Schizosaccharomyces pombe: one gene and its partners. The main gene of each other region encodes a partner of the protein of the gene in region 2 in a complex. Each region holds a gene or a part of one and is shown on either strand. Other genes may lie near its edges. The genes, in order: med20, srb7, pmc4 and med14.

Evidence for each region.
Region 1: srb7 (region 2) and med20 share a complex: the UniProt entries of both Schizosaccharomyces pombe proteins name them as parts of the mediator complex.
Region 3: srb7 (region 2) and pmc4 share a complex: the UniProt entries of both Schizosaccharomyces pombe proteins name them as parts of the mediator complex.
Region 4: srb7 (region 2) and med14 share a complex: the UniProt entries of both Schizosaccharomyces pombe proteins name them as parts of the mediator complex.

The regions. Positions count from the first base shown.
Region 1 is NC_003424.3:2,346,651-2,354,257, reverse strand, and holds med20 (mediator complex subunit Med20), read right to left. Parts: upstream 4,066-7,607; 5' UTR 3,932-4,065; coding exon 3,918-3,931; intron 3,876-3,917; coding exon 3,787-3,875; intron 3,718-3,786; coding exon 3,239-3,717; 3' UTR 3,014-3,238; downstream 1-3,013. Other genes in the region: ilv3 (dihydroxy-acid dehydratase), read left to right, coding at 1,091-2,887; ARP2/3 actin-organizing complex subunit Arc5, read left to right, coding at 4,988-5,133, 5,178-5,250, 5,377-5,553, 5,644-5,706; CENP-W family protein Wip1, read right to left, coding at 5,807-5,833, 5,936-6,049, 6,170-6,250; negative cofactor 2 complex subunit Bur6, read left to right, coding at 7,227-7,607. UniProt on the Schizosaccharomyces pombe protein: Component of the Mediator complex, a coactivator involved in the regulated transcription of nearly all RNA polymerase II-dependent genes.
Region 2 is NC_003423.3:3,912,370-3,918,029, reverse strand, and holds srb7 (mediator complex subunit Med21), read left to right. Parts: upstream 1-4,391; 5' UTR 4,392-4,417; coding exon 4,418-4,459; intron 4,460-4,500; coding exon 4,501-4,594; exon of another isoform or gene 4,595-4,647; coding exon 4,648-4,677; exon of another isoform or gene 4,678-4,725; intron 4,726-4,729; coding exon 4,730-4,980; 3' UTR 4,981-5,160; downstream 5,161-5,660. Other genes in the region: importin alpha family nuclear import signal receptor adaptor Imp1, read right to left, coding at 1-1,404; exoribonuclease Rex4, read right to left, coding at 2,478-3,227, 3,302-3,334; atp17 (F0-ATPase subunit F), read left to right, coding at 5,521-5,574, 5,627-5,660. UniProt on the Schizosaccharomyces pombe protein: Component of the Mediator complex, a coactivator involved in the regulated transcription of nearly all RNA polymerase II-dependent genes.
Region 3 is NC_003423.3:3,513,439-3,521,519, reverse strand, and holds pmc4 (mediator complex subunit Med4), read right to left. Parts: upstream 4,060-8,081; 5' UTR 4,032-4,059; coding exon 3,312-4,031; 3' UTR 3,055-3,311; coding exon of another isoform or gene 2,766-3,054; 3' UTR 2,724-2,765; coding exon of another isoform or gene 2,472-2,723; 3' UTR 2,431-2,471; downstream 1-2,430. Other genes in the region: EMP70 family endosomal transport protein Emp70, read right to left, coding at 1-812, 961-1,159; TREX/TREX2 complex subunit Pci2, read left to right, coding at 1,516-1,647, 1,714-1,871, 1,919-2,416, 2,472-2,723, 2,766-3,054; cell wall glucan 1,6-beta-glucosidase Exg1, read right to left, coding at 5,159-6,382. UniProt on the Schizosaccharomyces pombe protein: Component of the Mediator complex, a coactivator involved in the regulated transcription of nearly all RNA polymerase II-dependent genes.
Region 4 is NC_003423.3:1,991,826-2,001,532, forward strand, and holds med14 (mediator complex subunit Med14), read right to left. Parts: upstream 7,269-9,707; 5' UTR 7,104-7,268; coding exon 4,464-7,103; 3' UTR 4,181-4,463; downstream 1-4,180. Other genes in the region: chaperonin-containing T-complex gamma subunit Cct3, read right to left, coding at 1-431, 502-575, 614-638; SPOM_SPBC1A4.11C (uncharacterized protein), read right to left, coding at 1,451-1,825; pus7 (pseudouridine synthase), read left to right, coding at 2,102-4,144; V-ATPase assembly factor Pkr1, read left to right, coding at 8,073-8,260, 8,341-8,551; sdh7 (ACN9 family protein), read right to left, coding at 8,487-8,534, 8,650-8,949; anaphase-promoting complex cullin family subunit Apc2, read left to right, coding at 9,310-9,707. UniProt on the Schizosaccharomyces pombe protein: Component of the Mediator complex, a coactivator involved in the regulated transcription of nearly all RNA polymerase II-dependent genes.

The DNA of each region.
Region 1 (7,607 bases), on a different chromosome or scaffold from region 2:
ATTAAAATAGCATTTATTTTTTTTTAAAACCACGAAATAAAAGAAAAAAAACTAAATAACAAACCGCGAATAAATCAAATTCATGAATGATTTACTAGACCTTTTAAAATGCATTCACATCAAGTGAAGTGGGACACATACACATATCATCTTTTAGATCCTTCAGTCTAACTGTATAAGCACCAAAATGCAAAATTCCGTATTCATGTTAACAACACCCTAATTTACGTTATTTGAGTACTTTTCGTCCAGTAGCAGTCAATACAAATTCGAACAAGAAATAAAATATCAAATAGAATGTTCAGTAAGCTAACTTTTTCTGGGATATGTCAAAAATGATAAGCTGTAAAATTGAATTCTGATCATATATATTTTATTTAAAAAGTCTTAAGAATGAAAAAATCAACCATCTACTTTTCAATGGGTAGGTTGGATGGTTTAATGTAGGTAGCCATGTCAAAGGACTATTTTTTCAAATGTAATAAAACATTTCGTATCATTAATTGCTAGAAATCAAATAAATTAGAAAAATCTTAAAATCAATCTACGGTGATGTGAAAATTTGTAATTTTTAGTTTCATAATCGCAAGATCAAAGCTTCTTAGCATCTCTATGTCAATCAAAAGTGAAATATGAAGCGACAAAAATACTAGTCATGCTTTTTTCTTACTGAAAATTCGCCTCTTAGTTAAAACAACGTTTTTGCTATGTACGATCACCATGATCTGTACATTCATAGATTTTTATGTGTCATACCATATATCCAATCATGTCACTTTTATATTGATTTATTTAGGAAATGATTGGGCTTTCTCTTGATTCGTTTGATTTACCGAGATATAAACCGTGTTTTATATTTCGCATCTCCGGTTTAGCATACTTTACCAGGACCACTAACCAAGGGTGAATAAGTTAAGTCACCAGCAGATATTCCATTTAAATCTAACACCAAGTTTGTTATAAGTTTGTTCTTTCATATTTTCCTTTGTTTATTATTATTTATAAAAGGGGAATTTGAAGAAATCCTGGAGTTGACCCTTAGTAGAAAATTTTCTATAGTCTAAACAAAGCGAAATTTTTTTTTTAGAAGATGATGTTCTGCAAGCTTCTCCGTTGTCAAAACGGTATTGCTAGCAAAAGAGCTGCATTAAGCCTAAAAGGCTTTAAAACCTCTTCGATCAATTTAGTCGAGAAGAAATTGAACAAGTATAGTGAAACAATCACTGGTCCGAAGTCTCAGGGTGCTTCCCAAGCTATGTTATATGCTACTGGACTTAATGAGGAGGACATGAAAAAACCCCAAGTCGGCATTGCTAGTTGTTGGTATGAAGGAAATCCTTGCAATATGCATTTACTTGATCTCGGTCGACGAGTGAAAGAAGGTGTCAAAAAGGCTGGATTGACCGGATTCCAGTTTAATACTATTGGTGTTAGTGATGGTATTTCTATGGGTACTACTGGTATGCGTTATAGTTTGCAATCTCGTGAGATTATTGCAGACTCCATTGAGACCGTCATGCAAGGTCAATGGTATGATGCCAACGTCTCTATTCCTGGCTGTGACAAAAACATGCCTGGTTGTTTAATCGCTATGGGAAGATTCAACCGCCCTAGTATTATGGTTTACGGCGGTAGTATTCGTGCTGGTCACTCTCCTTGTCAGAACAATGCACCCATCGATATTGTTTCTGCTTTTCAATCCTATGGTGAATTTATCACAGGAAAAATTGATGAGCCAACCCGTCATGACATTATTCGTCATGCATGTCCTGGAGGTGGTGCTTGTGGTGGTATGTATACTGCAAATACAATGGCTAGCTGTGCCGAAGCTATGGGTATGACATTACCCGGTTCTTCTTCTTACCTTGCTGGCTCACCTGAGAAGTTTGCAGAATGCGAAGCTGCAGGTAGTGCTATAAAGCGACTTTTGGTTGACGACATTAAACCTCGCGACATCATGACACGTTCTGCTTTTGAAAATGCTATGGTCTTGACGATGACTCTTGGTGGCTCTACCAACTCTGTTCTTCATTTGATCGCAATTGCTAAGTCTGTTGGTATCACTTTAACTTTGGATGATTTCCAAGCCGTCAGTAACCGTACACCGTTTATTGCCGATATGAAGCCTAGCGGGAAGTACGTTATGGAAGATTTGTTCGCTATCGGAGGTATTCCTTCAGTACTTAAATATCTCCATGCTGAAGGTCTCATCGATGGTTCTAATATTACCGTTACTGGTAAAACTCTCGCTGAGAACCTACGAGGATTCAAGGACCTTGCCGAAGGTCAAAAGATCATTAGACCTTTGAGCAACCCCATCAAGACCGAGGGTCATTTACGTGTCCTCCGTGGTTCTTTAGCCCCTGAAGGTTCTGTCGCAAAGATTACTGGCAAAGAGGGCTTGAACTTCACCGGCAAAGCTCGTGTTTTTGATGCCGAAAACGATTTTATTGCTGCCTTAGAGCGTGGTGAGTTCAAGAAGGGCGAGAAGACTGTCGTCATTATTCGTTTTGAGGGACCAAAAGGTGGACCTGGTATGCCGGAAATGTTAAAGCCTTCAAGTGCTATTATGGGAGCTGGTCTTGGAAAGGATGTTGCACTTTTGACTGACGGTCGTTTCAGTGGTGGCTCTCACGGATTTTTGATTGGACACGTTGATCCCGAAGCACAAGTTGGAGGCCCTATTGCTCTTGTTCAGGACGGCGATGTCATTGAAATCAATGCTGTAAAGAACACTTTAGATTTGATGGTTGATGAGAAGGAGATGGCGAGACGCCGCAGTGTTTGGAAGGCACCTCCTTTGAAGTACCAACAAGGAACCCTTTTAAAATATGCTCGCAACGTTAGCACTGCCTCCAAGGGTGCTGTTACAGATTCCTTAGAGTAAAGCATATTCAATGCTTTTATAAGCGCGCATAGTATTTTGGAAACTTAGACGTTTAATGTTTTGGTAGTAAAGGTTGATTAATAAGCTTTTAATGCTGATTCCATAATCTCATCTAGAGTTTATTTGAATAATTTTGAATGAATAATTACTTTTTGGAGTACAGTGAAATGCATCGAGTTTAAAATGGGTTGTTATTCAAACTCCTGCATTTCTATTTTATTATTAAACATAATTGGTATCTGTAAATGTGAAAGGGAGCCATAACTTTCTGCTGACAATAAAGCAAGACTTTGACAGTTAGTTAGATAGAAATTTATTTACAGAAAAAATTTAAATTGATACTTTTTTATTCTATGTGCGTTGTGAAACGGTATCAATGCGTTGTTTAAACAACTGTAGTAGAAGTTTTGAATCCAAAGAATGACGAGGCTGGTTAAAGAAGCTTTCATAGACAGGGGTTACCGATTTATTATTTTGTAAAAAGCATTTAAGAAAGAATTCTTGAATAATAGGGCGTGCGAGATCGACGGACTCAGTACCATCGTAAGTTACATGAAAAAGTATACCCTTCCAAACGGACTTTTGTAAAACGTTGGCAATAGCCACTTTAAAGCTCCCTACTTCATATATTGAACCTTCAATAGTAAAGGACTGCCGAAAATTCCATAATTTCGTTCGCACAATGATGTCCTCAAGTTCAGGTTCTGCATCAATCATTGTCGCTTCATCCACACACGCCAGCATGCTGGGATTAATGTTTTGCTTCAAAAATTCTAAAGTTTTTGGAGTGACAGCATTTCTGTAAAGTTTATACTGAACTACCCATTTTTCTGAAATTCAAAGTTAGATCTTGAAATCATCAATCATAAGAAATAAAATCCAAACCAGTGTCAGCTTACTTAAATGTTGTGCAAAGTAGGTCCTAACCAGATTATCCTGTGCTGGAGAAAGGAACGTCGCCATTGAAGGCGATGAATAATAAATAACTCTATAATCAATCAGCAAAATAGTCAATCGGTATGCTTTTTACCCGTGAACAGGCATATTTTATAACAAAGATGAATGGTAATTAATTATGCATCTGAATATCGGTTTATACCGAATTATTGAGAAAAATGGCCGAATTAGTTCTTTTACTTCTACTGTAATGTTGATGTGAAGAGTTTAATGCGTACGGCGGTTGCAAGAATTGCTAACAGGCTAATTTAAAACCTTCATTTTCATTGTTCCTGTATTAAAAAAAAAAAGCAGATAGACATAATATGAGCTCAAATTTTATTAATTTATCTCTTGTCATTTTTATTATTTTCCAAGTCGCAAAGTATATGGCTTTTGGGTATGATAATCCCAGAGCAAATTGTTAAAAGCTTGAAGAGAATTAAGTTAACTGAATTACATTCATAATTAACTTCTGGAGAGTCAAATACTACGTAACAATGTAACTGGCTGGTTTGAGCACTAATTAAAAATCTGTTAATCCCAGGATGTTACATATGTGTCTCTTCGTTTTACTTTGAACTTTACACAAGAAACTACATAGTTCTGTCAGCAAAATAAGTCTTAAAAGTTATTGTTCGAATAGAAGTATAAACTCATACATCAATATACATACTGAAAATAGATAGAAGCAAAAAAAAAATTACTTTTAATCTTTATTCAACTAATTACTAGGCTGTATCTAACATATTTTCTTCTGAATCACCATAGGCAGAAATGTAAAATATGTAACCAATTTCTGTCTACAAGTTATTCAGAACTTTACATCTAAGACCAAAGGTAGAGATGATTATTTACAAATAAAAAAAAATAAACATCCACAAAAGAGGTCTATGGAGTACTGAAGAAGTTAGTAATGCTGTTACCAGACTTATATAGCTCCGCTCAAAAATTATAAGTTAAAGTTATAAGATTAAAAAAATATAAATATATTTTTTTGAATTTTCTTAACTTATTGGTTAAATTAATATACTCTATGAATTATAATAACTTCAGTTACAGACTTGCGTTCGACCGTTGTATGATGCCTCTTTAGAGCTACACACAGCTGAAACTTAACCTGTTCCATCGTTTTCTTTACCTTACCAGTTATAGAGTTATAAAATGACGTTTCGGACTTTGGATGTCGACTCCATCACAGAACCTGTTTTAACAGAGCAAGATATATTTCCAATTCGTAACGAAACGGCGGAGCAAGTCCAAGCAGCCGTCTCTCAACTCATTCCTCAAGCCCGGTCTGCCATTCAAACGTATGTTTATTTAAAAGAAGCAATTTTTTTATTAATTAAAATAGAGGAAATGCCTTACAAGGTTTGAAAACCTTACTCTCATATGTTCCTTATGGAAATGATGTTCAAGAAGTTAGGGTATGTGCAAACTGTACAAACTGCTTAAAGACGGTTTATATCAATTACGTTTTTATTTATTGATTAAATTTACAATTCTTCTTGATTTCATTTTATTATGGTGTAAATGAATTTTAACTTTTTTAGACTCAATATTTGAATGCTTTTGTTGATGTATTAAGCAATATACGAGCTGCTGACATTCCCGCATTTGTAAAAGAATGTTCAACGGAGGAAATTGATAATATTGTAAACTTCATTTATCGTGGATTGGCGAATCCTCAAGCCTACAACTCGTCTGTATTACTTAATTGGCACGAAAAGGTAACTTTTAGTTTATTGCTTTTCCCAACGCTCTAGCATTGCTTATCTCATGCTTTACATTTTTATTCGGTCACTAATACGGTTTTGTAGGTGGTGGAAATATCCGGTATAGGATGTATAGTTCGTGTTCTCAATAGTAGACCCGATCTATAAATATGGCTTTATCTTACTTTTTGGTATCTACTATTCTGTCGCTTATGGAACTGAATCAATGATTCTGTTTTATGTCTTCTTTCCCACATAATGACTCTTTTTATCCTTTAAATTGAGCTAGAATTTTCTAAATGGTTAGTAAGTATGTTCCATTTTAAAAAATAAAGTGCAATCGATTTACGCCTTTGCTGAAAAGATAATAAATCTAGTTTATTCAATATTAGCTTACTCTTTGAATACTTCGAACATGTTCTGGCTGTACTCTTCTTTCCCCAGTCTTAGCCGCTTCAATATTGGCTTCTTTTAGTAAGGATTGTAAGAAAAGACAGTAATCCAAATATACCTTGAAAATTCTGTTAGTTGAAAACATTCAATATAAAAAATTTGAATATCTTTATTAGAATAGCGCGTCCAAAAAGATACTGACTGAGAAATAGCTAGTTTCATTTATAACTTTCCATACCAAATCCAATGCGGAACTTTCAAGGCTGCGCTGGCAATGCTGACGAAAAAATCGTCTTATGCGTGCTTTAGGATAGCTCATAGTAAGTAGTTTCTTGCAAAAAAAAATATTAATCCCGTTTAGTTTTGTAAAATTAGAGAGTAATCATATCTTGCAAGGATAGCTCTGTATAGAAAGTGATAATCGTTGTGTCGTCTTCGAAGAAGGTAAAGTGCGAGTCCTTTTGAGTCATTAGTTCGAAGGATTCTACAAAGGTGCTATTGCAAATCAATTTTTTATAAATTTAATGTCATATTATTAATTGAAATTTTCTTAGTAAAAGTAATTATTACGTACAAAGATTAAAGCACTGACATTGCAAATTATGTGTCTTTGTTGTCAAAACAAGTTGGAATATTATATCAATTAGCAGCAATCTTAAGCATGAAAGCTTTTAAATACTTTGAGTTCATTTGTAAGCATGTATTTACTCGCTACTACTTTAAGAAAAGAAAAACTTTTTACTAGTATTTAAAAATTTGGTTGCTGGTTTGTTTTGCTTGCTCTGATTACACACGTATATCTGAATCTGTTATTTTATTCTTATTTAAACTGTGATTGTATGCATATTATGAACCTCTAAATTGCCTTCATTTGGAATATTGAGCAAAATACTTGGCAAGTATGGCGACTAAAAGAAAACCAAATTAATATTTACCGAGTTTCTTTGCTATATTTCCTGGAAGTTAGTCGCTTGTGATTCCGAATTATTGCTTTCCGCGACCTACATAAAATTCTGCTTTTAAACGAGTCCTTCACCACTACCTTGTTATAAAGAATACTAAGATCCGCTGTTAGGCACTAGAAGATTTTTACTTTAACTTCTCAAATTCGACAAATTAGAAAAAAAATTTTTTTAAAAACTTGACAGACAGTCTCAATAGAGGTAGTAATATACGTTTTCGTTACTACCTTACTTACCAGCTCCTTCAAGCGATTCATTTCCGAAACAATCATTTACACGCCAACTTACTATTGACTTTAATATCGAATTATCTTGTTAATTCTGCTTCTTATAATGGGTGATCCAACAAATAATAATGATAGTGAAACTAAACCAAATCCTGCTACGTACTGGAAAAGCAGATTTCCTGTTGCTCGTATAAAAAAGATTATGCAAGCAGACCAGGACGTTGGAAAGGTCGCTCAAGTTACTCCGGTTATTATGTCGAAAGCGTTGGAATTGTTCATGCAGAGTATAATTCAAGAATCGTGCAAACAGACGCGATTGCACCAAGCAAAGCGTGTTACCGTTTCTCATTTAAAGCATGCTGTTCAAAGTGTTGAACAGTTTGATTTTCTTCAAGACATTGTTGAAAAAGTACCGGATGCTCCGCCCATTAAAGCCGAAAGAAAGACAAAACGCCCCCGTGCTCGTCGAGCAGCTAATGAAGGTGAG
Region 2 (5,660 bases):
AACGTAGACAGCGTATTGATTAATGTTTTCAAGATCCATAGTTCTGTCCATCTCACCAACTTTAAGTATGTTTTCAATGGCATCGAGAGCAACTTGAATAATTTTATTATCGGATCCGTTCAACATATCGCAAAGTGGCTTAATAACGCCTTGTGACACAAGGTAACGAATTTGGTCAGGCTGACCGAGACCGCCAGAAGTAGCATTAGAAATAGCCCAACAGGCTTCTTTTTTTGTTTTGTAGTCGGCATATGAGAGTAAATGGACCAATGGAGGTATAAGATTACTTTCAATAATTGCTTGGATTTGTTGGGTATTGCCAGCAGTAATATTGCTAATAGTCCAACAAGCTTCCTTACGAATGTTCTCTTTTTGATGACTGAGAAGACTAGGGAATGCATTGAGAGCACCGCAATCGATTATGATCTGTGTTTGCGCGTCAGTACCTGTTACTATATTCCCCACAGAGCGAAGGGCAGGAGTTTGAATATTAACGCTGGGAGAGCTCAAAAGTTCAACAAGCCTGGGCGCACATCCAACGTCTAAAATGGCGCCAATTTTTTCGTTAGGTCCATCAGAAAGATAGGAGATGGCCCAGCACGCGTCAACAATAATCTCAACGTCTTCAGAATAAAGGAGCTTAGCAAGGATTGGAACGGCTACAGAAATAGTTGACCAGTTAGGTGGTGGATTTTTGCCTCTACACAAGTTAGAAAGTGTCCATGTAGCGTTACGGAGCATAGAAACATCAGAAGCGCTACTCTGAAGAATATTAAGTAAAGGCTGTAAAACTCCGTTACCGAGTACATAGTCACGGCAGGCAGAAGAATCGCCAGCTATGTTACCGAGGGCCCATACAACCTGCTCACGGACATCTTTTTCAGGTGAAGAAAGTAATTGAATAAAACGAGGAACAGCGCCGGAATCAACAACAATACGGGTTTGATCTGTGGTACCACTAGCGATATTTGTTAAGGCCCAAGCCGCTTCAAATTGAAGCAAGTGATGTTCACTTTCTAAAAATTGTACGAACCGGTCAACAACACCACAAGCAATTACCTGATCAATAGGGGGATGCGTCTCCTTAGAAAGATATTTCCTGAATTTCGTGACGGCACCTAATTGTAGCTCAATGTCGTCTGACATCACATCAGCTGTCAATTTAGGAAATTCATCTTTCATTTGTTGCTCCATTTGAACCTGAGACTGATCAGCCTCCTCTTCCACATCAATGTCATTTTGTAAAACAGCGTTTAAATTCCTTCGTTTATTCAAACTTTCCTCACGTTTTTGTTTGCGGATTTCAATTTGCTGTTCTTCACGTTGCCGACGAAGTTCATCAGCTTTGAAAACACCTTTGCTTTTAAAACGGCTTCTTCTATCTGATAAATATCTCGATTCCATTTCTATAGGAATAAACTTTTTTGATATCCTTTTTACTCTTTTTTTTTTAGTTATCTAAGACAGTTGTGGTTGCTGCGAGTTTAATGAGAATAAGGAGGTAAAAGAGCACTTGTGTCGTTCCAAGAAGCAGCCGGCACCCAGGTAACAATGTTCAAAAATAATAAATTTAGAATAATTTGAAATATATCATTTTCCGGTTCAAATCGTTGAAACTTTCTAGATCATTTTTGTTCTGTCATTGGAAACCTTCGCACCATAAAACGGGTAAAACAACATGCTTATTGAGCTCATCAACCAATTTTTCTTGGGTTTTTAACAAGCTGAATGCTATAACAAGAATTCAAAATTTAAAAACAAATGGAATTTTTCTTTAAACAACCTGTCAAGTTGGCCTATTTTTATTTTTATTTTGATTATATAATACATATAGTTGAGCAATTTAATCTTTGAATAAATACTTATTTTTCAAACACTTCCGTATCTGTTTTGTAAGCTATTAATATGTATACATTAATGGTCCATTGTCTAACTAGAATTTATTTGGTAGCTATTATTAATATATATATTTTTTATTTTTTTTGTGATAATAAAGATTAATTCGGTATTTATATAAATTTAGGAATTAACTTAACGGCGCTTGAAAACATATTATCGTCATTCAGTTAAAATGCTCTAAATCATATACACTATAGGAAGTAATCTAATTATATAACATTAACTTTATTAATTCACAAAGTAATTATGAAGACCATATAAACGAAGCTGATAAATCTCTATATCCTTGTTTTTTCCATACATTATTTCTTTCCTTCAGTTGTATGCATCATTTATTTATACTAAAAATTATTAATAGATTGACTATTTAAAACCAGAAACGAAGGAAACAGAAGAGATAAATAAAGAAAGAAAACCAACGATTTCATAAGAGCCAATGAAAACAATATTGCTGTTATAAGCAACCGAAAATATATTTAACATCTGACACATATCCAGTAAAATTATAAGAAACATTTTCTTGCATATTATTAAACCCAAATCCCAAATGACCAGAACGAAGTCTAGTGATTCAAAGCTTATGACTTTGACAAACCTTTGAATGCAACTTCATCCATTTCTTTTTTTACTTTCTTATATAATTCCATCGTTGCTTGGGCATCCTGGACGGAAGAATGCTGTCCAGATTGAATGTCACGCCCAAGAATCACTTCAGCAAGTTTTTTAAGCCCTGGTGTCCTTCCCTTGGCTAATTTCCGATACCCAGAAAATCTGCTGGTATCACGAATCATTCTTCTTGGATGCGATAAAAGTAGTACTTTGAGATCGTTATGGACAGCATGTCCAACCAATACTCGATTGTCGAGTATCTTAGCAACTTCTGCTTGTACTTTTTCAAATGAAGGTGCATCCCGCATGTGAAATGACTTGACACCACTGACCCATGTTCTCCAATCCGTAACCTTTTCTTTAGGACGGACATAAGTATCATACACGACATGACCATGATAATTAACTATACTGACGCGTGCAAGAACTGACATGTCATCTGCCACCCCAACCATTTCACAATCCATTGCAATATATTTCCCCAATGTTTCCAAATTGGTTTTTCTGGTAAGCTTGGAAGCATCCACGCCATATGCGTCAAGGACTTGAGATTCAGGGATATCATTTTCCTTAGCAAATTTCTTTAATTCATTCATGCGTTTTTTATCGACGATATAAGAATTCTCATTCTCATTGTTTTTACCTTTCACACTTTTAAGGTATTTCTTTTCATTAGAATGCTTTTTTTCAACCCGTCCACTCTTAGCGCTGTCGAGTTTCTAAACAACCAATACCGTTAGTATACTTAAACAAGAATCTTAAATGACTTAATGGAAACTATAGCCTTTCATACCTTCTTTAACTTTTCCCAATTGGAAGAAGACATTGCTTGTGCATAAGAGCCAAAGTTGGTGCAAGAAGCAATTTGCAACCTCTTTCAATATGATTCTCAACGCGGTATCACAAATATTTTATCACATTTTAGCACATTTCATTATTTTGAATAAAGCGTTGATGATAGTACGTTACGTTAAGTATCATTATATAAGTCACATGCCTTGTATTTATTTATCTATAGTATATATACATATATTGACAGTGATGCACCATTTGTTGCTTCTTGATGTAACTACTGCCAAATATACGAGACTATGAAATAAATTAACCTCCGTTCTTCGGGTCACCAATGAGCTATTTCAGTGTGTACCCACTTCGTAAGAATATTATAAGGTACCGGTGGTTAATGCATTTCCTAATAAAAGAATATTGTGAATATTCAAGACCCGTAGTAGCATATTCGTTAAACATTTAGTGATTTATGTTTGCTTAAAAGGATAGATTGTATTGAATTTGTAGCATTGTCCGCTATCTTTTTAAAAGCAGAGTACTGCAATTTTAATAACAATGCACCTTCACGTAATATGAAAACACTCAGAATGAATGGATTATCAAAAAGGTACTGAAAGGGGTGGGACTCGAACCCACGAGCTTTCGCACTAGTGCCTTAAACTAGCTCCATAACCACTCGGACACCCTTCCACGATCAAAAATATAATAAATATGTCGAATGTATTACTATTATCATTGTTTTTCTATGTTAATTAAAAATACTTAGCTGATTCTGTAGTTTCTGTAGTTTATTTTTTTTCGCTTTCCATTAATTTTTTTTTAAATTTTATGTACTGTTTTATGTTAAATTTCTTTTGCTTATGTCAAGCGTGATTCTAGCTTAATTCTTTTTCCCGATTGCTAGACAGTCGGTTTTTAGGTCGATACATTACAATTACAAACAATGTCATAAAATCAAAAGCTGTGCATAATAAATATCCGATGCTGAAATAACAGAAAAGTTAATTAGCGATTTATTGTTCTTGACATTTGCGCTTCAACAATTGTTACCTGCATCATGGACCTTCAACAACTTGCGACTTTCAACTCTTTTTAACTCATATTACACCTACATAAAAAAATGGCATGTAGGTGTACTCAGCTTCAAGATACAATTGATGAGGTAATGGGACTAGTTTTCTTTTTCTATTCTAACCTATGTAGGTTGCCACACAATTTTACTCTTCCATTCATTATTTAAGTTCTCATCATGATTTCGTTCCTTTACCTGGTCAAGAAAAGGTTTCTGATTCTAAAGGTATACAAGATTCATTATGATGCTATTCAAAGTAGCTACTAACAAATTATTAGTGAACCCAATTTCTGCTGAAGAGTTACAATGTACGATATTAGACGTCCTCTAGTCATTTTATGTGCTAACTTCTTTTTGTAGTCGCTCAAAGGGATCTAGCAAAAGACTTGGTTACAAAATTTATGCAAATAGACACTTTGATCAACCAACTTCCAGGTATTTCCACTGCACCAAAACATCAATTAGAGAAAATTAAAAAGTTACAAAACTCCATTGAAGAAAAACAATTGGAGAGGAAGAGTTTAGAATCAGAAAATGAAGATTTAAAATTACAATTGGCCAAGAGGATTGAAACATTTGGCCGGTTATCATGTGTCCTATTTCAGCCCTGATGATAATATGTAAGCAAAATATGCATACTAGCATACTCTTCTAGTTGCCAGATTTATTGAAGTTTTAAAATATCTTTGTCTGAGCTAAGAAAGAAGATGTGATCGCTGGAAGTGGGCTTATCATACGGGCAGCCTTAGATATACTGTTTTGACAAATGATTCCATTTTTATTAACGAGCTAATCTTTTTGAATCGATTTACATAAATATCTATCTACTTGTAGTTTTTAGAATGCCTTTACTTCATGCTGACGAGTACTTGACTGAAGTAACTAATTGTGAAAGCAGCTATGAAGTCTTAAAAAATAAACTAATAACAAACAGAATTTGAAAAGTAAAAAAATAGCAAATTAGCAAGGATAGTTTCTTATAGAAGAAAGAAAAAAATCCCTGATTTTTTAGAACGTTTAACGAAATTTACAAAACAATACGCTATTTTTGTTTAAGAAAAAAAAAATCCATTAACCATTCATTGCAAGTTCCTTTGCTATATACGACGGGAATTGAACATCACCATATTCACTTTAACTTAATTGTAATCATGGCTCCATTTCCTTTGAAATCGTTTATTCCCCCTCAAGTAGCGAATCCTACAGTAAGATTAATTAAAAAAGTGATAAATATAAACGAAAATCTAACTAAGATAGGCTTTGAATGCTTTTCCTAGCTCTGCTAGGATGG
Region 3 (8,081 bases), 400 kb from region 2:
AGTCCCTAAAAGGATAGAAAATAGCATGGGTCTACGAGGTGGACGAAATACATCACCATGAACTAGCTTCCAACCAAAATCTTCTTGAACATCTTCTTGATCGACAAAGGCGCTATTATATTTATTAATGTCACGATTTAGCGTTCTGTACAAAATAATAGAAACCACAAAAATTAGAAATGTGTCAATAATTGCGGAATGGATAATAAAGATCCATCGAATTTGCCTAGATTCAATGTGCATATATTTGTCCCATCGGGTAGCCCATGGAGTATCGGAATATTTCCAAGAGACTGAGTAAGAGGTCACGAGAGTAAGATCAGCTCCTTCCGGTAAATACTGTGGATTTGAAGACGAAGAACAAACTGGGTTTCCATCAACTAAAGTAGACTCCTTTGAGACAGGTTTTACATAAGCACCCACAACACGGTGTTGGTCACTAGATGTCGTATGATATTCTATAACTATATCATAATGATTGAATAGAATTACTCCCTTCTCCGTATTCTTGCCTAATGGAAAGCCTGGCGATAATGAGTAGTTCTTTGAGTTAGTCCCTTCTAAATATGTTGCTACGGGCAGATTATCTATGTTCCAGTTAACAACGTAGTTTTTGGAGATTAAATCTCTAATAAAACTGACATCTGAACTGGGAATTATCGAGGCACACAAGGGAACACAATCCTGGTTTTCAAGCATTTTTATTTCAATGGGAGAGTTGTAGAGACGGTCGCCAAAAAGCACACTTCCAAGTGACTCAGATTGTTTTGCGATATTCTCTGGTCGACAGAAGTGGAAACGCTCATCGTAGTCTAAAGTGAAGTTAGTAACAAGCAAAAAAGTTCGAGAGAAAATGTTATATCCTTCATTAAATCATATTTCTATAGTGTTTTCCTAATTTAAAATTGTAAAGTTTTTAAAAAAACACATGAACCTTCATGTGAGCTATCAACCACGTACATTCATAATTAAAGATGTCAGAACCCCGTCCATCTCCAATAAATGGTGAAATGGTATTGACAGTTGTATCAATTGAAGCACCGGGAGGATAGTTTTTCGGACTTAAGGGAGTTAATTGAAAACTAAAACAGGTTTGGAGAAGAACGGAAACGAAAACAACAAAGCTAAATGAACACGAGGGAATACTAGGTAAAAGCATATTTTACTATTTCCCTAATTCTTGGCAAAGACTCGAAACAGAATCTTTTCAAACCGAGATGATTAAGACTAAATCAATATAAAGTGCTACGGTTTTGGGGATTGATGCTGGTAGCATTTAATTTGAGGAATGCTGCTGTACTCTTAGTATGTCTCTTTATTGTGCTATTAACAATCCTCGTATACCGGTTTACGACCTGCTAACTTTCGTTATTCGTATATGAGGTTCAGAACGTGAGAGTTGGAGAACATCGATGTAAGCGAAAACATATCTGTTGAGTTTTCTTGTTATAACTTATTTATCGTTACATAATAATTGAAAGTTTAGTACTAAAAGTTGCGAAGGAACAGGTTGGAATGTCCTTAAATGACTTTCTGCAAACTTTGAGTAACGCTGTTGGAGAGAAAAACTCCAATACGTTGGAGAAATGTATTATTTTAGATCCATCAGAGCCCTCGTTTCAACAGCTCAGTAAAACTCTTTTTTTGGTATGTCGCAGGCTTGCACTACAAGTAATTGTCTTCAGGTTATAACATTAACTAACCGTGATAAAGGATAGAAAGGGGAAAAATAAGTTAAACGGAACCATTCAAAAAGAATTTGGAAGAATAAGAGGTTGGAAGGAATTGGTAACTACCTATTTTGAGTACGTTGAAAATGCTGCATCTTCTCCTGATCAACGAAAATGGGAATTGTTACAAAACTTGTATAGGTAATTAAAAACTTTTTGTTTATTATTTCTCACTTTTGTTTTTCTAGTAACTTGACAACTTGCTTCTCCCATATCGATGGAGCATGGTTGTGTACAATTGTAAAACGCGTTTCAAAGCTTTATGTAAAGCTCTCCCTTCAGCTAGATACATCTACACCTACTTTAGAAGATTCTTTTGATGGTAATGGGTTCATACAGAGGAAATACGTGAGCGATGCATCTAGGAACGTCTTACGAACGTTCAATAGTATACTGAGTGATCGTCAACAAAACATTAACCCTTCGAAGAAGGATGCGATATTCTGTATTGCCAATTTACTTTGTTTACTATATTTTCGCTTAAAGCAAATTCGTCTTTGCCAAACTATTCAAGCTAATGTCATCTCTTCGGGTGCCGATATTTCTCGCGCTACAATGGCGGAATTAGTAACGTTTCGTTATTATTTAGGAAGGTGTCATCTTTATCAACGCAAAATTCATCAGGCAAAGGACCATCTACTTTTTTCGTTTCTTCAGTGCCCTGATGAGTGTTATCATCAAAAAAGGTATGTTTTATTTTACTCAAAAATAGGATTCGTTTATATTTACTAATCAAAAAAGGCTTTCTCTAATCTATCTTACAACGTGTTTACTTATATTAGGAAAATCGCCAACAAAAGGGCTATTAGAAAAATACAAATTGACTGCAGCATTCGAACCTTTAATAAAAGCTTTGAAAAGTGGTGATATCAAGTCGTTCAGATTATCTTTGGAGGACAATTCCAGGAGGAAATGGTTTATCAAACGAGGAATATATCTAACTTTATTGGATAGATGTGAAATCATCCTGTGGAGGAATTTATTTAGAAAGGTGTACGTTTGAGATTTTTTAAAATATTCGACTAATTTAAAAAGGTTTCTTTTTACTTTTGAGCAAAGCCAAAAAACCCCGCACGTATCTGGTTCTTACTTGTTAACCGCGGCCCGTTTAAGTACAAATGATAACTCATATGACATGGACGATGTCGAATGTATCTGTGTTTCTCTAATTGACCAAGGATATATTAAAGGTTATATCATTCATGCATCATCAACTTTAGTCCTTAAAAAAGACCCATCGTTCGGTTTTTCTGTAATAGAGAGCCTTATGCCCATAGCAAGGAATGATCACGCAGAAAAGGAATTTTTTCATGCTAACGCATAATTAAATGAACTCAGAAAACGTAGATTGTTCGAAAATTATACTTAAAATTAATTAAATTTGAATTGACAAATGTTAAGCAAGGAACAGTGTTCAATCATCTTGCTTTGCGAAGTCTGAAAGCTAAATAAATACAGTCTAAACGGCAAAGCGTAATTTTATTCATTTTTAAAACAAAAGGGTATTTGGTCAAAGCAAAAAACTCTATAATTAGAAAAGTAAAATACCAGATATCACTTGACAAATAACACAATTTAGAATCAAAAATCTTCTTCCATTTCTGGATCAAAAAGATCAAATCCTGCAAAGACATCCTTATTAGCTGGCGATTCTACTTCTTTATTTTCCTCTTGCGTAGTGAATGTTGGAGAGGCAGGATAATTCATTTTAGTTTTTTCTTCAACGGCTTTGTTCGCATCAATTTCTGTTTCTGTTTCCGTTGGCTCGTTCGTCTTTGGAGGCTGTTCAGAAAATAATTGGGACGCTGTAGCCGATAAATTTGGAACCATGCTAGTTGAAAACTGAAACAACAGAGTTTTTCGCATCTGGTCCTCCGATGGCCAAGGATAATGCACAGGAGCTTTTGCATCTTGACCCGTCTCGGGATTGTACCCAGGAGGTGCAGAGGAAAACTTGGAAAGTTTTCTACCATAATCAAGGAGTGTTTCAGCATTAACTTTTTGTCGTTTTCTCCCCGACACTGTTTTTGGAAGATGGGTATCATAAATTGAGGTCATTTCTCTCATGCAGTCTTGAATTTGTAAATCCAGTTCCTTATCCTGCTTCAGCAAAGAACTAATTTCATTTTGTAATTCTCTACCATTTGTGTAATTTGATATTAAAGAGTGTAAGGTTTTCAAGTGGCCTACTAATGAGGTCCAGTTTTCTATTAGTACATATTGGTCAACCTTTTCGGATGACAGTCTTAACTGTTTATTGAGACATTCTTCAATAGAATCAATGGCTCTTTGATATTCCATTGGGGAGCATATGTGATTACTATATACTAACTACTCAACAATTGCTCGATCATCTAGTAGGTCAGGTTACAGTTATTTTGCAGACTCGACTTTTTACTCCTTAAACATCCGTAACCGTTAGTTAAACAGACATCCTTAAAAGGTTTAATGTGCTAAAACACGGTAAATTACAGTAATGTCCTCCTCCACAAGGGCAATAAGTAGCAGCTGGTATATACGCTCGACGAACAATACTTAAGTTACTCTCGATTAAATAGAATTAGTCAATTTAATTCTGTATATGATTTTAATTGTTTAAATTGTCTAACAAATTTCACTAATTTGGGCAAGAAGAAAGCTATTATTCGTATAAATTAGTCGACAAACTACGTTACATTTACAGTGTAACAATTTTGATCTTGTTAGGGACAACATAATGAATACATACTAGTGAATTAGATATCTCATTAAATTAAAAAAGCGAGTTCGTTAAAGAATGCTTAATGAGCTTATTTCGTTTAATGCGTATAAAGCCTATATCAGATCAGAAAATGTGTAATATTACTTTACCAAGAAATCGCTCAATTTAAATGTAATTTTTATAAAAGTATTTTAAACATATGTCACCTGTGGCTGAGTGAAAACCTATTCTGTCGATTTGCTTTTCCGAGACTAACTCAAAGTGGTCCGTCTATGTGGCTCAATACTGACTTATAAGAGTAGAGCAGAAAATACATTTCATATAAGTAAACTGAAGATACTTGATAATTGAAAATTCAATTGGACAACTTTAAAAAGATTTCTCGGTCAACTTTCTCCAAAGTACAGCTACTGTTAATATAGAGTTCGAAAAAATATGCAATATTGAACGTAAACTATTAAGCTAAATATTAATTTAGTAGGAACTTGCTACCAAAATATTAATATCACATAACTAAAAGATTTCGAAAACAACAATATATATTAAAAACTAATGTCTAAAGATAATGCCAAACAAACAAAGACTGAATGGATAGTAGATAGCAGCACGTTAAATGATAGTAGATGATAAATGCAAGGACAGGACATGACAACGATGTGTGAGATATAAATTAGTGTTATACAGCTAGAATAGATAAAATTTTTTTTTAACTTTGATATGGCTTTGCTTAACCGCAGTAAGAGCTATATTGTCTATCAGTGAAAGGTTGAGGGAATACGCCGTATTCAATAAGTAATCCCATATCCCAAGTAGGACTTGGTCCACCAGTTTTAGCAGTCCAGTAAATCCAACCAGCACCGCGTTCAAATTGATCTAACTGAGTTTCGATAAACAGACGAACAGCTCCCTTATATTCATCCGTCCAAGTGGAAATATCACCGCTGTTTGGTCCAATAAATGTCGAAGAGTCAACTCCTTCTTCGAAAATCGTGCAGTCTGCTAAAGTTCCGGACCATTCGCCAGTAACAGTAATGTAGGGAGAGGAAGCAATGGAATCACCAATGGAGCAAACATCTGAAAGATGATCATCGAGAGTCTTTGAGCACTCATCCGACTCGTAAAGTTGATAACGATGGACATCCATAACAAGATTGTATGAAGAAGGAGATACAACACCATAATCCCAAATAGAAAGATCAACATAGGCATCGTGAATGATAGTAGCAACAGAGCTGGAAAGAGGATTGACGATATTATAGGCATCTAAATCGTATTGCTTAAGTTGATCCATATCCAGACCATAGCCCAAAGGCTCATTTACCGTCTCAATTCCAATAACCACGCTGGCATATTGAGATTGGGTATACTTATTAGCAACATAGGTAATAATGTCAAGAGTACGAGTTACAGTGTCATTTTGCTGCCATCCAATGGAACCAGTCTTACCAGAGTTTTCAAATCCATTTTGGCTGCCTGGAACACCATGCAAGTCAATCCAAACCTTAAGGCCATATTGTTCAGCCCAAGTAAGAGCTTGATCGAGCCAGTACTCTTGCCCTTGAACATATGGTTCGCCGTCTACCACATTAAAGGCCCAATACCCAATAGGAATACGCAAAACATTAACACCCCAAGAAGCTATAGTAGCGAAATCAGATTCAGTGTAGAATGAGCTATAATGAGCAGCTAATTGAGAGGCAGCTTCATCTGCACCAAGAACCTCACAAAAGCCCCATTCATCAGTGGGAGGATTCGACATACTGCTAAATTGAGTAAACAATTGTGGAGTGATCCAATTTTCCAGCACCAACCAGCCACCAATGTTTACACCACGGACTTTTTCCGAGGTATAGTCAAAAACGGGGTTATTTCGCTTGATTACATAGGAAAATGCTGTCTTGAGAAGCAATGCATGCAAGAAAAAAGAAAAAACCGATGTAAAAGAGAGCATTTTAATGATATTATAAAGAGATAGAATATAGATATAAAGAACGAATAAGAGAACGAAAAACTGTTAAGAAACCAGTTTAGTTCAATTCAAAAGCACGTCTCAAATTCTAAGAGAAAAGCAAGTGAGTGTGTATATATTTATGTGTTCTTCAAAGCAGAAGAGAGAATAGGTATAAAGAAAAGGGGTATATATATGAGCACCTTTATGGACCGCGCAATGTAAGAACAAAGGAAGTACAAAAACAGTTCCACACAAAATAGCAATGTACAATTGGACAGAGTGATTGGCCGATTCAAAAAAAAGAAGTTCCTTTTAAAAAGGATATCGATACAGACAGCAAAAAAAAAAAAAGGAAGAAAAACTGAAACTCACGATAACAATGTTAACGAAGAAAACAGATAATCGGGCTGTATGTAAAGGAAAGTGTGTAAAATAGAAAATGCAAGCGACTTCTAAAAATAAAAAGAAAGAAAAAGGTAAAGAAAGAAAAGAAAGGATATCTAAATTAGAGCTTTCGTCTTTGAATTAAACAATGGAACAAAGGAACTGGGCATGAGTATCTTTTATACCAATTTCTCAACTCACGGAGCGCTCTAGAGTATGCTACGATAAAGAAAATTTGACAACCAATCACTACCAAGTAAACAATGATCGACAAATATGGACACTTTTTGACTCCTTAATTGGCTAACCTAATGGCTGGTTTTATTGTTTACTGCTTGGATTTGCGTACTGTTTTGTTTACATTTAGGTAGCGGTTACCAGGTAGATTGGACGAGAGGTAGCAATCGACCGTTTATTGTGGCTTACCGCGTCGTTATACCGTAAACAACGCGCTGGATTCATTGTAAATAGCAACGAAGCGCTGTAAAAAGCCGACAAAACATTAGCATTTGTACACGCTCTCTACCTTCACGCCTTTGCTGCCAGGGTGCGTTTGAGACAGTTAGTTGCTAAGTAAAAAAATGCCAATTCGGCTGGATTGAACTCTAAATATTATTTATTTATTTATTTAATTCATATTGTTTCGGTAATGAATTTGGTAATGTTTACATGATTCTTCTCAACTCAATGTCGGAAACCAACATGTGACTTACCAATTTAACGATATCAACCCTTTTTATTTACTTCATCAGCAGGTCCTTAAAATGTATACTATTTCGATCTAATTTACCTCGTCACACTGCTGTGGCCGTTCAATTAGTGGGGCACAAGACATATCAAAAAAATAAATAAATAAATGAGAAAGAAAGGATTCGAAAAGAAAATTAAAAAAAAAAAAAGACTTTCTTTTTCATTGTCATCTGCTCTGCCACTAAGGAGTCCAAGCAGTTTTCTTCAGGATCCTACATAGAAAACCATACTTTTTGAATTCTGATTAAAACAACCCAATTTTCACTTCATCCTCTGCTATACCATGCTGCCGCTCAAAGGTTTGTCGCGCTAAGTCTGTTAACATTTACAAAGTCCAATTAACCGAGGTAGCATTTACCGAGTCGTTATTTACAAACGGGGATGAATAAGTAGTAATTAGACTGGCGTCATGTAGTATGAACATTCGCAAGTGAACTAGGACGAAAGATAAGGTATGCGACCGATACCTATCTACTTGAGGTTCTGTAAGTTAACTGCGCTCAAATTTCTTGATACACCGTTAATGAATATCTGATATCTTGATATTTTTATTTTACAATGGCTT
Region 4 (9,707 bases), 1.9 Mb from region 2:
GCACGAAGAGCAAGATGACACATCAAATCGCTCCATCTCGCAACTAATTTAGTGCCGATACATGTTCGAATAAGACGAAACATTTCAGCATTGTCATCGACATTCACGGGTAACGTTATCTCATCAATAATAGATAATGCATCTTCCAAAGCTTGTTTAAACGAGCGGATCATGACAACGGGATGAATTTTACGATCAAGCAATGGACTAGCAGCGGCCAATATTTCACCAGCCAATATAATCACCGAAGTAGTGCCATCACCAACTTCTTCATCTTGGGTTCTCGCAAGCTCAATCATGCTTTTAGCAGCCGGATGTGCGACTTCAATTTCACGTAAAATGGCATGTCCATCGTTTGTAAGCAAAACACTCCCAACTGGATCGAGCAACATTTTAAGCATAGCTCTCGGGCCTAAACATGTTCGAATAACCTATAATGTCAGCAACGTAATATATAACAAACCTCAGTTTAAAGCTTAAGAGGATGGAAAAAAACCGTACATCAGCGACAGCCTTCGCAGCTTGTATATTTGACATCTGGGCCTTGTGGCCAACCTGTCGGTTGCCATTTGTATCTTTGGTTAATTAAATTAATACCAGAAATGCAACTTACTCATAACAAACACAGGAGACTGCATGTTGGTGAAAGACAACTTCAAATTGGTAAAGGTCGTTTGTTCCTTAAAGCGAAGTATTCAAAACCCTGATAAGGATACGTTAAAATTCGCAATAATAGCAAACCGATACGCAAATTTTGTTTTGCAAATGTTATTGTATATAAAAATCAAAAAGATAACGAGATTGACCAACACAGAAGCGTTTTTATTTACTTTGAGAAAATGATTAGTTTGCTATATTTCATATTAAAATAAATTGAGGTAAATTAATAATTGAAAAAAATTGTAAAATTTGATATTAAATAAAACAAATATGAAAATACATCTGCTCTCTCATTCCCAGAACTTCGAACAAGAGAAGCAGAAGTCAAAAGTGGTAGTAATTTCATGGATTAAAGTAAAAAAAAAAGGATGTGTACAACCTATCGAAATATATACCTATACTCACAATGTACACATGAAAAATAAACACAGATATCGAGAATTAGCTTATAGAAGATAATCAATTTTTATGCAAGGTCAGAAAACACCGTATTATTTCTAACAAATCGAAAGCAATAATGGTTCAATACGTTTATGTACCACTGTGGAGGAGTGTCAAAAAAAAATCAAACCTGTAGGGTAATTCAGAAGAAATGGTAAACGATAGATGAACCGTTCGAATATATACAACGGGAAGAAAACAAGCATATATACAATCATAGAAAAAGATTTGTTTTACATGAAATATTCTAACTTTTTATGTTAGTTTTTCGAAGAACCAAACAACCAGAAACATATACTCAATGTAGTCACGCTTACCAAAGCGCACAAGGATACAGCAAGTAAATAATTTAAGGCGTAAGATTGTCAATTTGTGAAATTGTGAGTTGAATATTTGAGCGGATTTTCTCCAATTCTTGAAGGGGCATCAGAGCACTAGGTTCAGGATCCATTTTTTCGCAAGATTCAAAAAGGCGTTTTGATTCACGATCTAGCGCAGATATCATAGTAGGTAATCGGGGAAGGACCTCTGAAACTTGATTGATTTGTTGGTTCAAAACTCTCAGAGAGTCATTAAGTGTTTTATCAAACTCAGACAAAAGGTGCTGGGACGTTTCGTACAATATAGAAGGGTCATTGCTCTCAGGAAGAAGCTGATTTAATTTATCAATTGGGCTCTTGAATTTCGAGGGACCAAATTCCCCAATCCAATCCTTCTCGGGCATTGATATTTGGCGTCTTTCTTCAAGTAGCCCTCGTCTGTTTTCCTTTTCTTAGTTCTTTCCGAGATCCTTCGTTTCGGTATACTAAATTATATATTATGGTCGAGAGTGGTATAATTTTAATGAATGTCATACGCACCTCGTAATAATGTACTATTGAGCATTGTCGATCCACCTTATAACTAGATGCAGAAAGTGTGCTTAACATGGCTTTATGAATACTAACGCGGTAGCTAATCCCATTCAAGTGGTTTTGAAATTTGTATATTCGCTTTAGCAATGTCCCAAGAAAACCATGTGGATGTCCCTAGGAAAAGGATTCGGATTGACCAATCTGAGTCTTCAAGGAATTTGGAAAGAAATGGATTAGAAGATGAAGCCAACGCTCCTTCAGATTTGAGCGGTCAGAAGTTTTATATGACCGAGTCAGATGTAGGAATTGATGCGTTTTTGAATCCAAATCTTCCTTCAATCGATGGAATTATTAAAGCAAGATTCACGGATTTTGCTGTTTTTGAAGTTGATACAGATGGAAATATAGTTCACTTAACTGATATGGAAGCTCACGATCCTATCCTTTCGAAGGCAACCGGAGACAAGGAAACTGAAGACGCAAAAGATTCTTCTAATCAAGATATAAGTAATGACCAGAAAGCTCCTTCTTTTAAGGAACAAGAACCTGCTACACTGCCTATATTGCCGAATGACCTCCAAAGTATCATACCTAAGGGAATTGGTAATGAATTTATTCAATCTCTTCATAAGCTATCAGTTGGTGAAATAACTGATCCCATCTCATTAATTCTTCCCGAAAATACTCCTCCTATGGATAAAGGTCAGCGAACGATCTTACATCAATTCATACGAAACAACTTTTCTGGACTCGAGTCTTCTACAAAAGGGAATGGAACTTTTACAGTGTCAAAGACCACCAGAAAAAACCAGCCTAGATCACGAAGAGATCCCCGATTAAGTTGGAAGGCTTTGGGTGGTGAATATTGCCATTTCCATTTGTATAAGGAGAACAGAGATTCTATGGACTGTCTTGGTAAAATTGCCCGCCTCCTCAAAGTCCCCACTAGGACTTTATCAATTGCTGGAACCAAAGATAGAAGAGGCGTAACCTGTCAACGCGTAGCTATTCATCATGTTAGAGCATCTCGACTCGCACAATTAAACTCTGGTTCTCTTAAAAATTCCACATATGGTTTTCTTTTGGGAAATTATTCTTATAAAAATTCAAATTTAAGATTGGGAGACTTGAAGGGAAACGAATTTCACATTGTAGTGCGTAATGTTATTACGCCTAAAGAGAAGGTTGTTGAAGCATTGAATTCTTTAAAAGAGCACGGGTTTATTAACTATTTTGGTTTACAAAGATTCGGTACCAGTTCTGTCGGGACACATACCATTGGAGTTCGTCTTTTACAATCAGACTGGAAAGGCGCTGTCGACCTAATTTTATCACCAAGGCCCGAGCATACCGGTTCTGTCAAAGAAGCAATTGATTTATGGCATTCCACTCATGATGCTGAAGCTTCTCTTCGCATTCTTCCTCGAAGGATGATAGCTGAATCCAGCATTTTGGAAACATGGTCTCGATCTGGTAATCAAACTGATTATTTAGGAGCGTTCCAGAGAATTCCCCGTCACTTGAGAAGTATTTACCCTCATGCATATCAATCTTACGTTTGGAACAGAGTTGCTTCTTGGCGGATAAAGAATTTGGGCGATCGTCCTGTTGTGGGAGATTTGGTTTACTCTACTGAGTCTAATGGTTTAAGTCAAAAAAGCCCTATTGTTGACCCAGAGGCACCTGATCTTCTAGAAGATTTACCTGTGAGCTCAAAATTATCAGCTCGTCCGATTGAAGAGGACGAAGTCAATAACTTTAGTATTTACGACATAGTACTTCCTTTACCTGGTCGTAATGTAATATACCCAAAAAATGAAACTTTCGATATATACAAGTCTGTCATGAATGAGGCATCACTTGATCCATTAAATATGTCTCGCAAAGACAGAGAACTTTCATTACCTGGTGATTATCGAAAACTTTTGGTGCGTCCTGAAAATATGGAGTTTAATTTCATAAAGTATGACAATATGGAACAACAACTGATTTTGACGGATAAGGATAGATTGGAGAACCGTTCTATTTCAGTGAGTTCTGAGGTTGGTAAGCACACCGCTGTTACGTTAAAATTTGTACTTCCATCTTCTGCTTACGCTACTATGGCTTTACGAGAAGCTTTAAGAACTGCAACTGCTAGTGGTGATCAACGTATGTTGATGCCAGCGGTACTTAAAGATTCAATATAAAATTTATTAGCTTAAAAGAACACAGCTTTGAATAAACTTGGGATTATGGCGATTATAATAGAAATTCATTTTACCTACGGAAGTTTTTTGCTTATTCATAAATGATTAAGCGTTAATTCGACGATCTCTAATTTACACGTTGGATTATATAAATCACATGTATCATCAATGTAACATTCACTTGTATACTTTAGAAAACGATTTTCATTTACCTCATTAACCAGACATTTTTTGCCGTATTTATATATACAATCACTAATCACTGCCACCGAAAGGAATGGACGGTGGAGGGGGTGAGGATTAAAAGCTTAATATGAGTTCATTTTTTTCGAGAGATCGCTAAAATTCTTTTTAGAATGGCTGTTAAATCAGCCGTTTTGTTCATCTTTATTAAGTGCATCTCGGGAGCGGCCTCAATCTGACCATTAAGCTCATCATCACCCAAGTCACCTTCCCAAACAGTATTAAGCCATGAACAAGGTTCCCATTGAGACGTCAAAGTCTGAGTTCCTTCCAAGTATCGGGAATCGGCAGATAAGTAGGATAAATCTTGGAGTATACATCCATGGCGATTTAAAAGAACTTGAATGCCATGATTTTTGGATAGGATAATTCTGTACTGACGCAGAGATCGAGCCAAAACAACGTAGCCCAATTCTTGAGCTACTAAAACACCTCTCGTTCTATCCATAATTACGCGTAATGGTTGAATAGCTGAGGGCCCATCAGAAAATGTATCCTGCAAAAACTGAGAAATTAGATGAAACGGACTATGTCGATTAAAAAAATGAAGGGTAAAAGTGTTGTCGTCATGAATTGTAGCCCTAAATTTCTCATCATCGAGATATGTAAAGTCCACATGCTTTAACGTGATACAATCTACATTGAATGCAGATGTTTTAGACAAAGCAACAAGTTTAAGTAATCCAATCCATGTTTTTTCGAAAGATGAAAAATTTTGCACACGAATGGTAATACGACCGGTTCTCCAATCTATGTAGCAGTTCTTTTCAGTTTCAGTCTCAGACTGATACGGCAATTTTCCTTTTATTCGGGAGTCAAAAATTAACTGCCCGTCATGCGCGCGAACGAAAACCACAGGAAGCATATCTTCATTAGACGATGGCATCATAATACATAAGCATCCTGTTTGGACGTATGTAGTAAAGTCATCTTCAATTAGGGCTTTTGGTGGAATAGGCAAATATTCAAAAGGCATACCACGAGCTTGGCAAGCAGTTTGAACATTGAATAAAAGTATTTGGACTTCCAATAGGTACGAAAGACGGCTAAAACTTTCAATACTTAAAGTACCTTTTGTAGTATGAACATCTTGGGTGTAGAGAGTTTGACCCGCAGCGTTCAACAATCTAACAGACCAAGAGTTGGATTCAACGTTGTACGCGAGTACCCATAGGGAATCGCCATCTTTTCTCCATTTACCTTTGGAGAATGTAAGATAAGGGAAAGAATAGTAACCTTGAACTGCATGCAACTCAGCACACTGGGCAACTTCTAATAGCTGCGTTTGTATACAAAAGAAATACAACCGATTCAAGATTTGGGCGGGAGGTTGCGTATTCAAAGCAATATTTTTTTCAGCAGCACGAAGATGCCTGGGAGGTGATAAAGGTGAAGCCGAACTCGACAGCACGAGCCTGCCGGTAACGCTGTTCACCTTGACAATTATTTCATTATCAAAGACATGAATTTTTAGACCACCACCAACATGTTCACTAAATATATTTGGGTGAAGCTCCTTACGGATTTGTTCCAGAATAAGTTGAGCGTGTTTTTGGGTAATTAATAATAGTAGATGCTGAGCATCCATATGATCATCTAATGGTACATGTTCAACAATGCCATCATGGTGCCATTCAACGAGTAATAAAAAATGATCATATTCACAACTGGATCTCTTAGAGCTAAGGGTACGCTCAAAGGCGGATATGGGTTGAGTATTTACAAATATATGAATATAATGACCAATTTTTCCGGGTTTTCCTTCTTTTTTCACATTTAATTGGGGCCAATAGTATAGACGTAGCCGTGGGGGCTTTTCATCATAGACACCGCGCAAATGCCCTAACCAACTTTCTCTGGATAGTTGAAAAGTTTGTTGTGACAATAAATTAAGGCGCTGATATAAACAAAATTTATGAAGGATATTATATATTAAAGGTAGGATGGGCTTTTGTAGAACGAATGCAGCAGCGATTTCTTCATTGAGATGCAATTCTATAAAAACCCGATATTTTGCGGGAGTAGAAGAAAAATCAGGAAGATGAAATTGAAAGTCAACAACAATCCACTGGAATGAAATACCGGTAGATTTAGGATCTTGGGAATTGGTTGTCAAAGACACTGAAAACTCATTGGGAACAGTAAATGTGCAACGACCATTAGCAATTGTGAAATGTTGAAATGGTGTCGGAATAATTTCATAAAGACTAAGACGAATTCTAATAAGCATGTTAAGAGCATGAAGGGTTTGAAGTATTTGTTTGGTACTTAGCGGTGATTCAGATAGCATGTATAATTTTGAAGTGGGAGCATTTGCTAGACGAAGACTCGTGCCAGTTGACAAAATATCTAATGCAGTAACTAAATCTGAGTTGCGTAGACGTGCAAATGACAACTGGTAACGAATATCTTGTAACACATGAACTAAATTCTGGAAGCAAAATTTTTGACCTTGAAGAAAGGCTACAACATCTATGCATCGATGAACTGAAGGAGATAGATGTACCCAACGCGCTAAAACTAGCAAACGCATAGTGAAAGCGCGCGAACGTAATAACCAATCTAAGATCTTTTTCTTTTTCTCGACATTTGACATAGAGGGTAGAACTTCGGCTAAAGACACCAATTCTTGTAACACATGATGACTAAAAGTTTCTACTATCTCAGGAAGAGGATAAAATCCTTCTGTAATGTGTGGAATCGCAGGCGGTTCCATCCTCAATTGGAGGAGTTAGGAATTTCGTGTAATAGCGCCTTTAATTAGCCGATCCTTTACCAAAACTAAATTTCGTAATAAACATAAGTTTTGTTCTTTTAAAAACCCTTAAAAAGGATTCTTTATATCTCTTTTACAGAAATCTTCGAGTAGCGTGCCAAAAGCAACTTCACACAGCTCCCGTGAAACTCTTCGATAACCTTCGTTACGCCATTCACTGAGATTGTTAAAACGCCTTAGGTTTATTCATTCAAAAAATTGGAATAATCAATAAATAAGCAATTTTAAATGGAATTAAATAATAATTGATCAATGATATTACTAAAATGGGAGATTTTGAATAAATTTGAGCTAGTATAAACATGCCCTGTTATGCGATAATCGCATAAAACATAGTTTGAAACTATGGATAATGAAGAATAACAAATGAGATGGAACCGTTCAAAAAGATTCTCGTAATTCTATAGTAGTTAAAAAGCCCCTTCTTTAAACTGAACGAAAATCATCATTAAAGCTGTTCAAACTTTGCTATCAATTTTAATCAGAGCTTCAGCGTGTCTCATTAAAATGATAATAAAACAGTAATTTAGAAGAGCTAAGCCGAAAAATAACATTTGTTTTGATCATTTAATTATTTTCTCCACGACCACAAGAAGCTGACAAAAAATTTTTAATATAGCAAAACAAAAGTAGAGCACTATTCCATTTGAATGATTCAAAGCTCTATTAACAATAAATTTGGACAAATGGAAGCATAACCTTCGGTTTTAATAGTAGTATAAGATATGGATTTCTTGAAATCCATTTTAACTTTTAATGAACTCCAACATCGGTCTCGTTGCTAAATTAATTCAATAGCACACGCACACTATAAAGGCCAGATTTTATCGCTAGAACACAAACGGTGGTTTAACAACGTCAATTCATAGCTACTACATTTCCAAGTAGTATTCCAATAAGAAAAAGATCATGTCGTATTGGGTGGAACTATGGGAATCAATTTTCACACCAGGTGTCACACCTGTATTGGCTAAGTCAGCACACGTAGCCTGTGGTGCACTTGTCGCTGTTTTTCTTGGACTTTATATAGGTACAAAAAGTATTCATTGTCTCATCTTATTTTTCCTGGCAATCTGTTTGTGGCTGTCGCTAACATGGTACGTTTATCCATGAGGAAGTTGAACATCTCGTTCACTTTTTTACGAGTAGTCCAGATCATTCATTAACAACTTTATAGGTTTTTGGTTGAGCTTGCACATGCTCGAGTTAATAACGATTTGCAGATGTCGTCTCAAAGTGCCAATAAAAATGACGACAACTCAAACAATCAAAATCCTTCTAATAACAAAGAGATGTCTGATAAAGAATCAGATTCCGCGACCACTACTCAGACTTTTTCTGTTCCTGAAGAGCTTTTGAGAGCTCGTACAACTGCCAATAATAGTTAGAAACTATAGGTCCAAAAAAAGAAGCAATAAGTTCAAGAGCACTGGTAAAAGTTCTCTTCTTTTAATAATAAACCTCAATCTAATATAAGTTTTCTTACCTGTCCGATTTGCTGGTCATTTAAAGATTCTAGTAGATCCGTATTACTGTATTTTTCCTGTTTCCAGCTCTCGTTTTCTAGTGCATCCGCATACCTCTCCCACGAGCTTAAAAATCCTACTAAATGCAAAGGATTTGTTACGTTCCGATGTCTTCGAAATTCCGCCTTTACATATTCATCTCCTAAAGCTCGTTCTTCTGCTCCTAGGTGATAGCGATGCGCTCTCAACACCCTTCGGTACAGAGGCAAAGGAGGTGTCAAAATATTCTTTTGTTTCATTAATTTCGTTATGTTATTCATTGGTATATGATTTTCTTTAGATACCGTCTTTTCAAAAATTGAATTCCTTTTAAGTTTCTTGTTGTGGTTGTGATGTGGAAGGCAGTTTGCTATTCATCGCATTCACACTAACAATTGCAAGGTCTTCTTCTACCAAATGTAAACAATACCACCAGAAGATATACTAGTAGGAAAAGTGAGTGTTCCTTCAATCATTTGTCTTGAAATCTTCAATTTTTAATTCCTTTTTCTTTTGAAAACATTACTTTGTGTTATCGGACTACGTAGAAAGGACTTGTCGATTTGGTATCGATTATTTGTAGTTGCTTGAATTCATTTATTTTAAGATTAAAGTATTTATCAGAAAAAATTAAAAGCATAATGAATGATACTGATCTGTCCACCTTTACTGGCCGTTCGTTGTTGATCGATCAATTGAGCTCAGTCACACAGGGAACACCAGTATTGGATTTTATTGACAAGTTGAGAATTCATTTCTATACCACTATTCGCCAAAATCTCTTAAAGATTGATTTAAAAAACATATGCAGTCTACACGACTTAACGGACCAACTAAGTGACTTTTGGCTTGTTTACGAACAGAGTGTCTTAGAAAGTCCTATTTTAAGTCCTGAACTCGACCGAATCCTTACATGCTTCCGTTGCCTTTGTAGAAGGTACTTGCCCATTTCGGTGATTGAAAGCGTTCTAACAGAATATCTGGATCAAGTTTTAAAAGTATGGTTAGAGAGTAAAACGAATCCTTGTTTGGATATGGA